Linked DNA regions of Ovis aries. The protein of the gene in region 2 binds, or shares a complex with, the protein of the main gene of each other region. Links are inferred from orthologs where the notes say so. Each region holds a gene or a part of one and is shown on either strand. Other genes may lie near its edges. The genes, in order: INSR and GRB14.

What was found.
Region 1: the proteins of GRB14 (region 2) and INSR are in contact, whole or in part, in a crystal structure (PDB 2AUH), measured with the Homo sapiens proteins. The link is inferred for Ovis aries from reciprocal best matches to the Homo sapiens genes GRB14 and INSR. Residues at the interface, in NP_004481.2 of Homo sapiens: Glu373, Asn374, Ser375, Leu376, Val377, Ala378, Met379, Asp380, Phe381, Ser382, Ser386, Val388, Ile389, Glu394, Val398, Ala399, Glu401, Glu402, Gly403, Leu404, Trp406, Arg407; in NP_000199.2 of Homo sapiens: Leu1065, Arg1066, Ile1069, Glu1070, Lys1112, Arg1116, Arg1163, Met1180, Arg1182, Tyr1190, Lys1192, Gly1193, Gly1194, Lys1195, Gly1196, Leu1197, Leu1198, Pro1199, Val1200, Trp1202, Ser1207, Leu1208, Lys1209, Asp1210, Gly1211, Gln1235, Asn1242, Glu1243, Leu1246.

What each region holds. Positions count from the first base shown.
Region 1 is NC_056058.1:13,931,322-13,940,899, reverse strand, and holds the start of INSR (insulin receptor), read left to right. Parts: upstream 1-4,633; 5' UTR 4,634-5,118; coding exon 5,119-5,218; intron 5,219-9,578. UniProt on the Homo sapiens protein: Receptor tyrosine kinase which mediates the pleiotropic actions of insulin.
Region 2 is NC_056055.1:144,978,769-144,982,877, reverse strand, and holds the start of GRB14 (growth factor receptor-bound protein 14), read right to left. Parts: upstream 2,801-4,109; 5' UTR 2,661-2,800; coding exon 2,470-2,660; intron 1,214-2,469; coding exon 1,081-1,213; intron 1-1,080. UniProt on the Homo sapiens protein: Adapter protein which modulates coupling of cell surface receptor kinases with specific signaling pathways. Binds to, and suppresses signals from, the activated insulin receptor (INSR). Potent inhibitor of insulin-stimulated MAPK3 phosphorylation.

The DNA.
Region 1 (9,578 bases), on a different chromosome or scaffold from region 2:
TAAAAATCTGACGTTCGGTTTTATGCAGGATTTTATTTCACTATTCATATAACTCAGTGTTTACATAGCCAGATTTGTTATTTTTAGATTTTCGATTTGCATCTTGCTTGAAGAGATGTTCCCTACTTTGCAATTATAAAACAAAATTTCCATATTGCAGAGTCTTATGCTTTCTTTTTTGAGCGGCTATGGAATTCATCAAATGCATCTCAAAGTACTTATTTATTGGTTTGACTGCAGCAGGCCTTCAGTGCAGCTCTCTGGATCTTGGATCTTTGTTGCAGCATGCAGGATCTTTAGCTGTGCCATGTGGCATCTAGTTCCCTGAACAGGGATTGAACCTGGGCTTCCTACATTGGGAGCGTGGAGTCTTAGCTACTGAACCACCAGCGAAGTTCCATAAAATACAGTTTTAGTAGCATAGAGATGCTCACGTACCCCGAATCAATGAAGACGGTGATCTTGATGACTAGACTTCCTAGTGCTGAACCACCGTCGCCCTTCTGGCCCAAGTTCCACTTGATCCTGGTGTGGGTGTCATGTTCGTGCAAGCTTCCGCCTAGTTCTGTTAGTAAATTCTCACTGCTGGGTTTTTGCACTGTTACCCGAAAGGCAGATCCATCTGTAGTTTCCCCCTCTACTCCTAAATGTACTCTATTAAAGCAGGTTTCCATGACAACACAGGAGTCAGGATTTACACTGGGCTTCCTGCTTTAACATAACGGAAAACTTTAACATAACATAACGCAAGACTGAGGGAGATTGTCCCAAAGAGACTTGCTAAAGGAAGACCCCAGCAAGGTGGTGGTGGTATCTCTCCAAGCCCTCCTTGATGCATAACGAAAGTACAGTATTTGGTGTTTATACTCATGAACCGTGAAATGATCTCTCTCTTTCCATCATGTCTTCAAGTATGGTATGTGTTCAAATGTCAGACCAAAGCCAACGTAAGAAAAACAAAGCCAAAACGAAAGTCCCAAGTGGTTTTTCAAAACTATTAAAGCTTTTATCAATAATTTTGACATGATGTCAGACTTCCTATGGGGTCGCACAGAGTCGGACACGACTGAAGCGACTTAGCAGCAGCAGCAGCAGACTTCCTCAGTGGTAAAGAATCTGCCTGCCAATGCAGGAGACTTAGGAGATGTGGGTTAAATCCCTGGGTTGGGAAGATCCCCTGGAGGAGGGAATGGCAACCCACTCCAGTATTCTTGCCTGGAAAATCCAATGAACAGAGGAGCCTGGCGGGCTACAGTTCATGAGGTCACAGAGTCAGATACGACTGAGCAACTGAGTACATACCTGCCCAGACGTCCAGAAAAGTTGCACAAATAGTGCAATTAATCCTTATATGCACAGTTTATCAGATTAACCAATTTCATCACACTTTTAAAAATCACACCTGCTTTGTTCTTTCTCTGTCTCTTTCTCTTTTTTTCTGAACCATTTGAGAATAAGTTGCAGATATTATGTTCCTTAACCCCTACACACTTCATCTGATGTTTATTACCTAAAGCCAAGGACATTCTGTTACATCACTTCAGTAAAAGGATCAAAATTAATATTGATAGAGTATCACTGTGGAACTGATAGACTCTTTTCAATCTTTCCCACTGTCCCAATAATTTATTTTATTGCAAAAGAAAATCCAGGAGTAACTTTGATCATTTTGTTAAGCCAGATTTTTCTTTCACAAAGCTACCATTTTTCTTTTTTTGGACAAACATGCTGCGAAGAGATACTTGCAGACCATGGAAATACCCCATTACTTTTCAAGCTTCCAACCATCACTTTTAACGTTCATTGATGGCTCTTGCCAGAATCAATTATTTTGGAAATTAGCAAATGGTGATTTTCTACTTTCATTCCAATGCTTTTAAGAAGAGGCAGAGGTTGACTTTCATTTTTTATATCCTGGTATTTTTTTTGAGGGGGTGCGGGGGTAGCTTACAGAAGAAATAATGAGCTTTTTTTCTTCTGGAAGTGGAGGTGTCTTCATTTTCTCCCAGTAAGCCACAACTACAACGATTCTTCTGACTTTATACCCAGCTTTATGTGGAGGTCTTGCATCCTGAAGGATTTCCAGAGGGCAGTATGTCCCTTGGAATTTTAGCAAATGCCACCTGCTTGAAATTGTTGGTGGCTTTTCAGTCAGTTGACTTCAGTCGCTCAGTTGTGTCTGACTCTTTGCAACCCCATGGACTGTAGCATGCCAGGCTCCTCTGTCCATGGGATTTTCCAGGCAAGAATACTGGAGTGGGTAGCCATTCCCTTCTGCAGGGGATCTTCCAGACCCAGGGTCCAACCTGGGTCTCCTGCATTGAAGGCAGATTCTTTATTGTCTGAGCCACCAGGGAAGCCCAACCCTTTGGTATAAACCCTTTAATGCATCCTTGTTGCTTTTAGGATAAAGGGTGTGTTGAAGACAACCCATACATGGTATATCCCTTTTAGTCTCGCCTACCAGCCCAGCCTTCCCCTTTTCTTTCTTTGCTTTCTTTTCTCCAGCTACAGTGCCTGGCTCAGTTGTGAGAACACTGGCCTGTCCTCTGGGCCTTTGCACACGCCGTTCCCTCCACCTGGAACATTTTCTTGATGCTTCCCTGGGCTGGCTCTCTCTCCTCAGATTTCAGTTCAAAATCACCTCTTTGGAGAATCCTTCTGCCTCTCCCCACCTCACCTTATAAAACATCTGATGTGCGACTTAATGGCTTTCTCCTTACACTGGGTTGTGAGGTCTACAAGGAAATGAATGGTGTTTATTTGGCTCCCTGCGAATCCCCACTGCTTACTGCATGTTGATTTTTCCGCTCAACAAATATTTATTAAGCAATGGATATGTCAGTCACTGGGTGTAAAATACTGAACATGATGGACAAGATTTCTGCCTTCCTGGGGAGGGGTGAATACACACAATAAGTCAGAATTTCAGGTAGAGACACCAGCGTGCTGTCTGGACAGGAACAAATGGAGGAGGGGACAGGGAGTGTTTGCAAAGTTGGTCAGGGAAGGCTCACTGGAACAGACAAGTGGAGCCAGACACCAGAAGGACAGGGGAGGCAGGAATAGACTTGAGTTAGAAGAACAGTGGGCCCATCTACTGGCAAACTAATATTTGTTTAATAGATGAAAGGAAGAATGAATGCCCTCAGCCAACAGTTGTTCTGGGTGCTTTGTCATGCTTTATTTCCCCTGGGAGACTGTGTGTGTGCATGCGTGTGCGTGCTCCGTTGTGTGTGTGTGTGTGTGTGTGTGTGTGTGTGTGTGTATGCACACGAGCTCAGTCATGTCGAACTCTTTGCGACTCCATGGACTGTAGCCTGCCTCTACCCATGGGATTTTCCAGGCAAGAATACTGGAGTGGGCTACCATTTCCTCCTCCAGGGGATCTTCCTGACCCAGGAATCTAACCTGCGTCTCCTGCATTGGTGGGCAAATTCTTTACCACTGAGCAACCTGGGAAGCCCTTGCTGCTGCTGCTGCTACTGCTGCTAAGTCGCTTCAGTCGTGTCTGACTCTGTGCGACCCCATAGTCGGCAGCCCACCAGGCTCCCCTGTCCCTGGGACTCTCCAGGCAAGAACACTGGAGTGGGTTGCCATTTCCTTCTCCAATCCATGAAGGTGAAAAGTGAAAGTGAAGTCGCTCAGTCCTGTCCGAGTCTTAGGGACCCCATGGACTGCAGCCTACCAGGCTCCTCCCTCCATGGGGTTTTCCAGGCAAGAGTACTGGAGTGGGGTGCCATCGCCTTCTCCGGGAAGCCCTTACAACTCACCAAATCTGACCTGAAGGTGTCCTTACGTGCATCATACAGATGAGGCCCATCGAGAGAGAGAAAAATTACTCATTCAAGCAGATTCTCACTCCGTTCTGGCTTCTCTGTGCTTAAGGCCCCTCTTCAGCAGGCGGGGTGGCCACTGTCACGTGACTGACGTTCAAACACACACGGACTCTGGGTCTGCGCATTGAAACTTGGGTGTGTCCACCTGTGTTCTACCGAAGATCTCCAGCGCCTGGTTTGCACTTTTTTTTTTTTTTGCTAGTTTCTACACTTTCTCCTAAGGGTCATTTCTCCACCTTGAACCACGCATCGTGCGGAGGGGCCAGGCTACCCAATACTTGAGCGCACGCGGCACGCTCGTGCACGTGGCTGTCCCCAGGGGCCTGGCTCTGGGCGGGGGCGCACTCTGGGGTAGGACATCCGGGGCGCTCGAGGGCCATACTCACTGGCCAGACTGTGACGAGGGGAAGGTGAACGCAACATTTAAGGGAGTACCAAAAAGCCGAGTAACCACGATAAACAATATTTTAATGCAATATTTAAAAAAATAAAAATGAATTTTCTAAAGTCCCACGAAGAACAAACTAGCAAAATGTTTTAAACACGCGATCCGACTTGCTGAGTTGGTCAATCTGGGGCGCTCCCGGGCTCTGAGACAGGAGTCCTGGGGCTGTACGGGGCGCTGGGGCTGGGCAGGCATCTAGGGCGCCCCCTCGGCTACGGCGCGACGGGGGCCTCCAGCGCGGGGCCCAGGATAGGGAGACCGGCGGGCGGGCGGGGCGGCGCCTCCCCCCTGCCCGTCCTCCTTCCACCCCTCTCGGGCCTCTGCCGGGCGCCGAGTCCCTTCCGAGCCCAGATCCGCGCCGCCTTTTCCCGCGGCCCGAACGGGGCCCAGCTGACGGGCCGCGTTGTTTACGGGCCGAGCAGCCCTGGCTCCCGCCGCCTGCCCGCCACCCGCCAGCCCAGGTGCCCGCCCGCCTGTCCGCACGTCCGTTTGTCCGCGCGTCCGAAGATCGGAGCTCCGGAGCGCTCGGGGCCAAGAGCCTAGAGTCAGGGGGGCGCAGCGCGGGGCTCCGGGCCCTGAGATCGTCGGGACGGGGGCGCGGGCCGCGGGGGCCCGGAGTCGGGACCGTCTCCACCCGGCCGCGCTGCCGGATTCGTAGCAGCGGAGGCCGCGCGCCCCTCCCGGGGCCGTATCTAGAGTCCTCCCGGGCGCAGGCTGCGGGACCTTGGGCTGCCCGCGTGGAAGAGAAGGACGCGCGACCCCCAGCGCCTCTGGGGCGGCCGCCTCGGAGCATGCACCCCGCCAGCCAGCGCCCCGCGCTCTGATCCTTCAGCCATGGGCGCCGGGGGCGGGAGCGGGGCGGCAGCCGTGCTGCTGCTGGTGGTCGTCGCCGCGCTGCTGGTGGGCGCCGCGGGCCACCTGTACCCTGGAGAAGGTGAGTCTGGGGGGTCCCGGAGCGGGCGGGAAGCCGCGCGGGTGGGGAGGGGACCCTTTGCCAAAATGGAACCACCCCCCGTTGTGGACGGAGTGCCGTCCTCCGTCGGAGGGCTGGTGGCTCGGACGGTTTCTCCGGCCTCGCGGGGGGCGGGAAGCCGCTGACCTTGGCCTTTGCCCGCCTGGGCTAGCGGTTCCACGACCCGCATGCGGCCCGGGGCTGGAGGAACCTTGCCCTAGTGCCCGCCCCTCCGCGGGCGCCTCTCCCGAGAGCGCTCCTCGAACCCCCGTGTCTGGGCCTCTCTGAGCCCACCACCTGGCTCCAGAGACGGGACACACGTCCTCTCTGGGTCGCCTCCGAGAAGTAGGGTCATCGGACACTCTCACACAGCCAAATGCCCCGGGCACAGACGGTTTGGAGTGAGAATCGAGGGTGACTGACTGAAGGCAGGGTGGTCCCTTGAGATCCCAGCAGCTTGGTGACGCTCCCCCAGGGGCCGAGGAAGTGTAGAACCCGCCCCTTTCTTTCTGGTATCTAGACCCACGGCTACCCCTGACTTCAGGTCCATGTTTATACTCTGGAATTCTGTTTCCAGATGTCGGAGGCAAGCTCTAGCCCTTGGCAACAGCGCAGCTGTAGTAGCAGTAGTGTTGGCTTTTATGATTATTATAGCTGGTGTCACCAGATGCCTCGGGCTGGCCGGTCTTATCTGTCTGGATCTCTGCAGCAGCCCGTGGAGGCTGATACTGTTGTTGGTCCATTTCATAGAGGAGTAAACTGAGGCTCAGGAAGGACACAGAATTCACTTGCCCCAGAATCAGAGCTAGAGAGAAGACAAACCTCTCTGGCTCTGCCCAGGGCTCTGCCCAGCTGCCCACGCCCCAGGAACCCCTGGTAACCTCCCTCCTCTACCTTTTTACCTGTCAGCTGGGCAGGTCTCTAATCTGTGGTCAGCCCAGCACCTTGCCCCCTCTCCCTTCCAATTCTCCCTCATGAGTGTCCCTGGGCTAGCAGCTCCCTGGTATGGGGAGAGGGGTAAGTCCCAGCATTTTCCTTGGGCTTGACAGCACGTCTTTCTGGCTGCAGGTCAAGGATGGAAAATCCTTGAAGAGAATATAACTGGGGTTTCCCACCATGATGGCGGAGGCCCTGCTTTCAAAATATGTGTTGGGTTACTTCTTCAGATTTCTCCATAAAAGGAAATCAGTCCCGATGAGGAAGGGGTCAGGCAGGGAAGGAACAGAAGTTCCTGAGTTGCCTGTCGGTGAGTGGGGATGCACGAGAAAGCACGTGGGGGCTCTGGAGTTGACAAACCGGGTTTGTGGAGCACCTTTGCCAATTAGGCAACGTCTCCAAGCACCCAAGTGCCTGGTATACAGTGAGTGCTCCTCCAAGGAAGGGTAGCAGTGGATTTAGGCTCTTGTTAGAAAAAAAACACACACACACACACACACAAAAACCCAGACCAGCTGTTAGATCTGTGTCCGGCTTTGTGTGTCCATGCCCGTGTGTGTCTGTGTGTGGGTGCACATCTGTATATGCATGCAGTTCCTTGCTCCTCTGTTCCTGGTAGCTTTAGGAATTAATGGTGGATTTGTGCCTGGGCTGGCTTTCCTGGTGGCTCAGATGGTAAAGAATCTGCCTGTAGGAGCCTGGGTTTGATCCCTGGATCGGGAAGATCCCCTGGAGAGGGGAATGGCTATCCACTCCAGTATTCTTGCCCAGAGAATCTCATGGACAGAGGAGCCTGGTGGGCTACATACAGTCCATGGGGTCCCAAAGAGTCCGATACGACTGATCGACTTTCACTTTCAGGGGTCAGTGGATGGATTTGCCACTTCTTGCATGTTTATAGCTTCCACGAGGGAGAGGCTTATGTTTCTCTGTTCACTGCCACAGTTCCAGAGTCTAGAGCAGCCCCTGACACCTAGGAGATGCTTGATACATTTATTTATTTTGACCGTGCTGGGTCTTCATTGCTGTGCTGGGCTTTTCTCTAGGTGTGAGGATCGAGGCTACTCTGTAGTTGCTGTGCATGGGATGGGCTTCTCATTCCAGCGGCTTCTCTTGTTGTGGAGACCGGGCTCCAGGGCACGCGGCTTCAGTAGTTGTGGCTCGTGTGCTCAATAGTTGTGGCTCCCTGGCCCCAGAGTGCAGGCTCAGCAGCTGTGGCACTCGGGCTTAGCTGCTCTGCAGCACATGTGGTCTTCCCATACCAGAGGTCGAACCCCTGTCCTCAGCATTGGCAGGAGGATTTGTCGCCCTTGGACCACCAGGGAAGTCCTAAATATTTGTTCTAGATCCAACTCCTGTCCTTCCTGTTCTTCCCAGGAGTCCAAGTCATGGCTCCTTTATTCTTCAGATAAAACCTAGCTGACACAAATACAAGCAAATTCTACACACTCGGCATTGATAATCTCGATTAATCCTCACCACAGCCCTCCGAGGTAAGGTTTATCATCCATTTCGAAGGTGAGGAACTTGGATGAGGTGGCAGTGCTGAGATGAGAACTCCGGTTTGTTAATAAAAGGTTTCTTAACAGAAGGTTCTTCTTGGGACTCTGAGCCTCCCCGCCCTAACCCCTGTGGTATAAAGGTTAACAAAATACTCTCGAATAAATGACATGTGATGCCCTTCGGAGGTTTGGGGAGGGGCAAGGAACTTTCCGGATCGTTGGTTAATCTCCAGCAGCAAGCAGTGTGGCATTCTGTCTGGGGTGGGGGTGGGGTCGATGGAGATCAGTGGGATTTTGAAGGACTGAGGACTCTCTCCTCGATGTCACATGGGATGGGCCAGCCCATTTCATCCCCCCTGTGGAGTCTCTGTGGCTTGGCTGAACTGGGCAGTGGTTTTCCCTCCCATGTCTCCTTGGGTTGACCCACTCTGGCCCGAGATGACCCAGGAGCACTGCAAAGTCAGAGAATGAAGGCAAAGTGGGATTAATTATAGTGGAAACTGAATCTTGGCAGGGGCAGTGAATTGATGAGTTGAGGTGCTAGATGTTGCTTTTGGATCCCCTTACATCTCGAGGTGGAATCTAGTGTTTCTCTTGTGGTTCTCTGGTGCACTCTGGGACCCTCAGATCAGAACTTCTGCTCTCTGGGTCAGTTCTCTGAGGTTCTTCCTAGTCTTTGCTTCCCTCCTGGTGACCTGCCTCTCGACCCTGCCCTGCTCATTCATAGAGGTCACTGGGGGCGAGCCTCACCCCATGGGCCCCCACCTCACTCCACTTCCTCATTGACATCCTTTATTTTTTGGCTAGAATAGACCTTCTCAATTTCTGTGCTCTTGATCTATGAGGTTGGATAGTTCTTGGTTGCAGGGGGCTGTCTTGTGTATCTTAAGATGTTGCTCACTGTCTGCGGTCTCTGACCAGTAGCAACGCCCCTCTCCAAGTCATGACCACTAAAAAGTGTCTGCAGACACCACCAACTGTCCTCTGATTGAGAACCACTGCTTTTGGTGCTAGTGGTAAAGAACCTACCTGCCAATGCAGGGGACACATGAGGTGTGGGTTCAATCCCTGGATCAGGAAGCTCCCCTGGAGGAAGGCATGGCAACCTGCTCCAGTATGCTTGCCTGGGAAATCTCATGGACAGAAGACCCTGCCAAGCTGCAGTCGATGGGGTCATAAAGAGTCAGACACGACTGAAGTGACTTAGTATGCAGGACACTTATCCACTTAGGTCCCCTCCTCTCTCCCCTCTGTTCAGGGATCTCCATCCACCCAGAAGCCTTTTTCTTTTCAGCCTATAAACACTCAATACTCCCCAGGACCCCGGTACCCACCACCCACCTTTTGCCTTCCTCTGTCAAGCCTCCCCCAACCGCTGATGGGCACTCATCACCCTTGCTCTCTCACCTTTCACCCACTGCTCTGCCCACAGCATCTGGCTTGTGTCTCCATTGCTTTGCCCATGGTGCTAACCAAAGTCATTCCTCACCTACCAATGGCAGCCTCACCCCAGCTGACTTCTCTGGGTTTTGCTTCCCCTCTCCTGGTGAGTTTTCACCTGTCCCTGGCTCCTCCCATTCTCTCTCTTCTTTTCCTCTGCTCCTTTTCCGGGCTTATTATCTTGGCCTTCATTGACGGCCATTCCCTACTCTGACTCTCTCTCTTACGCTCACTTGTTAATTTATATGTGGTCAAAGTCTTTAGAACAGGGGTCGAACCCTGCCCGCCCACGCCTGTTTTTGTAAATAAAGTTTTATTGGCACGCCGCCATGCCCGTTGGTTCACGCATCCTCTATCGCTGCTTTCGTGCTCTAAGGGCAGAGTTGAACGGTTGTGATCGCGTGGCTCCCAACAATATTTACACTTGGGCCCTTTCCAGAGAAAGTTTGCCGACTCTGGATTTA
Region 2 (4,109 bases):
TGTCCGAGTTTTTGCGACCCCATGAACTATACAGTCTGTGGAATTCTCCAGGCCAGAATACTGGAGTGGCTGGCCGTTCCCTTCTCCAGGGGATCTTCCCAACCCAGGAACTGAACTGGGGTCTCTTGCATTGCAGGTGGATTCTTTACCAACTGAGCTACTAGGGAAGCCCCCAGTGGTCATGGGTTTGAGCAAATTCTGGGAAATAGTAAAAGACAGAGTAGCCTAGTGTGCTGTTTGTAGTACATGGGGTCACAGTTGGACACGACTTAGCGACTATGAACAACAACCCTTGCAAGAACAAGGTACATAGTGAAGCTTCTCTTTGTTTGCTGATTCAAGACTAGAATGAAGTATATTCAGAAGAGATGGGATTAACCTAGGAAACACTTTTTTTTTTTTATAATTGTGATGCATCTCCCCACAGCTGCTTGGTTCTTGAAGTTTAATTTGCTCAAGTCAGCTCCATACTAGAAACTTGAAAGAAAATCATAAAAATTAAGTCCATAAGCTAAACATCACTTACAAGTCATCTGTCTTCTGCAGTCAGAAACTTCCAAACTGAGGAATTCGCTGAAATGAAAGAAAACCTGTGGAGTCCAAAACTCCATTTACCTTTCACCACAGATTCACCATAATCAATTTCCTTTAGTAAATAAGTTTGGCTTGGGTTGAAAATATGAAAGATTAAAGAAGGTATTAAAAGAACCGGTCAATTCCCTTCTCCCTCTAAATCACTACCAGCTCTTCCAGTTTCTGAGTTAAAATTGATCAGTTGTTATCATATATAACTCTCCAGTTACAATGTGAATAATAATAGCTCCTAGGCTCTGTACTTCACATATATTCTTTCATTTAATCCATTCCAAAAGCCTGATGGGTATGTTTTAATGTACCCACTATACAGATGTGAAAAGTGAGACCCTAAAGGGAACTAATGGCAAAGAACTATGTCAGTTAATAGAGCTATTTAAAATAGGCCATGCTAACCTTTTGCTAATATTGTAAGTTACTATCTTAAAGATTATATGGATATAGAACTTCTAAGATTGTTTAATTAGAACATTTTAAAATGCATACCTGTTTTTTCCTTGAATTTGCTTTGGGAAACAGGCCTGCTGACAACACAGATGTAAATGGAGAGCAGCATAGCTCAGGAAAAGGATTTGGAATAGATGGCATTTCCAGAACATCAAGATCTTTCTTTTTTCTCCTACACGGAGAGAACATAGGATGTAATTTACATAAAACAGAATGTAAAATATAATTGCTGTCAGGATTAAAAAGTTAAGGCCAGAATGCCCCACTCTGTGACAATACTAATGTAAAGTATACAGGAAAAGTCTGTGGTGTACTTTCTGTGGGTCAGAATAAAACATGTCAATTGATATAAATCAATCTCCTTTTGCATTCCTTTCTTCCTTTCTTTTCTTTTGGCCTTTAAAAAGAAAATCACCAGGCCTGGAAGCCCCATTTCCAGCACTTCTGATAATTTTCCTGAAACTGACATACAGACTAGAGAATTATTGAAGTAAAAATCATCCTGAGGAGTTAGACATTGTTTTGCATCCACTAAATTGACAGTCTATAAACATTTAGTGAACTCATCCCTATTCTATTCTACTAATCACTTTTGAAAGTTATGGTTTATTAATTATAGCTGTGGTTCATCTCACTTCAAATTTCATTCACAATGTGGCCCACACACAGTCTGCTGATTTTTCAAGTGCTTATAGATACTAAACTGCAAGGCAGTGTTTTTGAGGAGGTAAATGAATAGAACTTGCTAGTATTAATGTACTTTGGTCCACTGCAGAGTAATTTTAACTTCAGTGAAGTTGAAGCACTTTGAAAATCTGAAGAAAAAAAAAAAAAAAGACATCATTTAAATGTATGAATATAAAGGACTATTGATTTTTGTATTGTTGCAGCCTTTTTCTTTCCTAAAGTATGTGTGAAATTGTGAATTCTACAGGCACTTAGGGCTGAATGCTATGGAGATTGGGAAACACTTTAAAGCCTCTATTCTTTCCTGCTGAACAGCTAGACTGCTCAAATGTCAATCCGTACTTTGCCTCTCCAGGGTCGCTCTAAGACTCCATGTGGGAGGCGAACTGATTTATTCTGATTTTTTTATAATATATAAAAGGGATTATTTTGTTTTTTAACGCAGTAAAGAAGGAAGGAGGGTGGTCAGCCTGGAGCCTGGCCTCCTAGTTCACATCGATGGTCAGAGGCGAGAGCGACCCGGAGCTCTCAATGAATCGGTGATGCTATTTATAAGGCGCTGGGAGATCGCAATGTCCTGCCCATCCGGTAGGTTCTGCCAGCTCAAAGGGAATTGTCTTCTGAGACTTTCTCAAACTTGGCCCAGATCTGGGCACATGGCTCACCCCCTAGGACCGCCTCCTCACCCCTCGCCGGCTGCCAACCCAGGACACTCCCCCGCGCCCTCCGAGGGCTGCCTACCTGTCTGCCGCACAGCCGCGGGTCGCGTCCGGAGGGGGCAGGAGTGCCCGCGCGTGCAGCCAGGGGCCCGGCGCCAGGTCGCGGGCGTCGCCCCTCCCCTGGGCAGCGCCGCACACCTGGGCGGCCAGCGGCGAGTCCCGGGCAGCCGCCCGACCCGCGGCGCTCTGCCCATCTTGCAGGGAAGTGGTCATTGTCGCCGGCCGGGGGACTCGGGCGTCATGGGAGACCCGGCGTGGGGGTAGAAGGAGATCCGGCGGCGGGAGGCGAGGTGCCGGTTCGGCAGCCCGAGCGCGCTGCAGGTGCGGTGGCCTCGCCGCCTGCGCTCTGGACCAGGGCGGCTCAGACGCTCGGCCGAGCGGTAGGCGAGGCGGCGGGGGAGGGGAGGGGGCGGAGGAGGAGGGTGGGGAGAGGGGAGGAGCGGCGGGTGGGTGGGGGCCGCGGGCGGCGGGGCGAGGCGCGGAGGGGGCGGGGAGGGCGCCGGGCGGGCCCCGCTCGCGGTCCGTGGCGCTGGGGGGCGCTGGCTGGGGGCCCGCGCCCCTGACTGCCGGCCCTCGAGGCTCGGGCCCCGGGCTCCCCAGGTGGGCGCCGGAGCGCGAGGCTGAGCCCGGGGTCGGGGCGGATCCGCGTCGCGGGAGGCGGGATCCATGTGATCGGGCGCTCCCTCGGGGCTAGCCTGGCAGAGCGCAGGCGGGGCAGGGGTCTGGGCAGCCCTGACCCCCTAGACCTTTCATTCTTCTTGCTCTGCTATTGGAGAGCTGTCGCTGGGCCGCCATGACAGGCCCACCGTGCCAGGAGAGCGGGGGACCAGGTTTGTCCCAGTCTTTCCCCCACGTGCCTCTTGCTTCCACTCTGCAGCTGAGGACACCGGCGAGGGAGAAGGGGTGGACGGGGAACAGGCAGTACAATCGGTGCCGAAAACTACGGAGATGTTTGAGAATTCTGAGTAAGGTATGAGTAAACCTGACCTCTTAGGAATTAGGAAAATTATTCATTTTCTTCTGATAAGAGCAGCTCCCATCGAATGAGCCCCTACTCTGCCTAGTCGCGTTCTACCTCACAACGGCCTCATAAATTAGACGTTTACCCCGTTTTACAGATAAGGGAATTGAGGCTCCAAGTCATGGAGTACCTGGTACAAGACAGGGCTAGTGAAGTAGTGCAGTGAAGCTTCCAACCCAAAAGATTCCATGCCCCAAATCCAGACTGCTTGAAGTGGTAATTACATTATGCTCACCTGAGATGCAGTCGCCCTACTCTGAATTCTGAGTGGTAAATCTGTTTCTGCTCTTCCAATAAGTGCCCCATCCCAGTGCACTGTTCCGGGTTTCCAAATGTTTTATACACTCTTTGTTCTTTGACCAAATTAGGTAACATCTGTCCCTGGCTTCTGTTAACCAGGTTTTCTTAACCTTCACAACCTCTGCCAGGGAAAGGCAAACACTGCCTTCTAAAGACACTGGCAACCCCCCTGCTCCATATCTGTGTGACCCCCAACACACACACACACACACACACACACACACACACACCCCGTGGCACCAACCACTGCCGACGCCCAGGGTTTGCTAATCCCCAGCCTGTGAGAAATCTGTAGTACTACATAGAGGCACAAAATTTTGAGTCAAAGAGCCTACAGAATC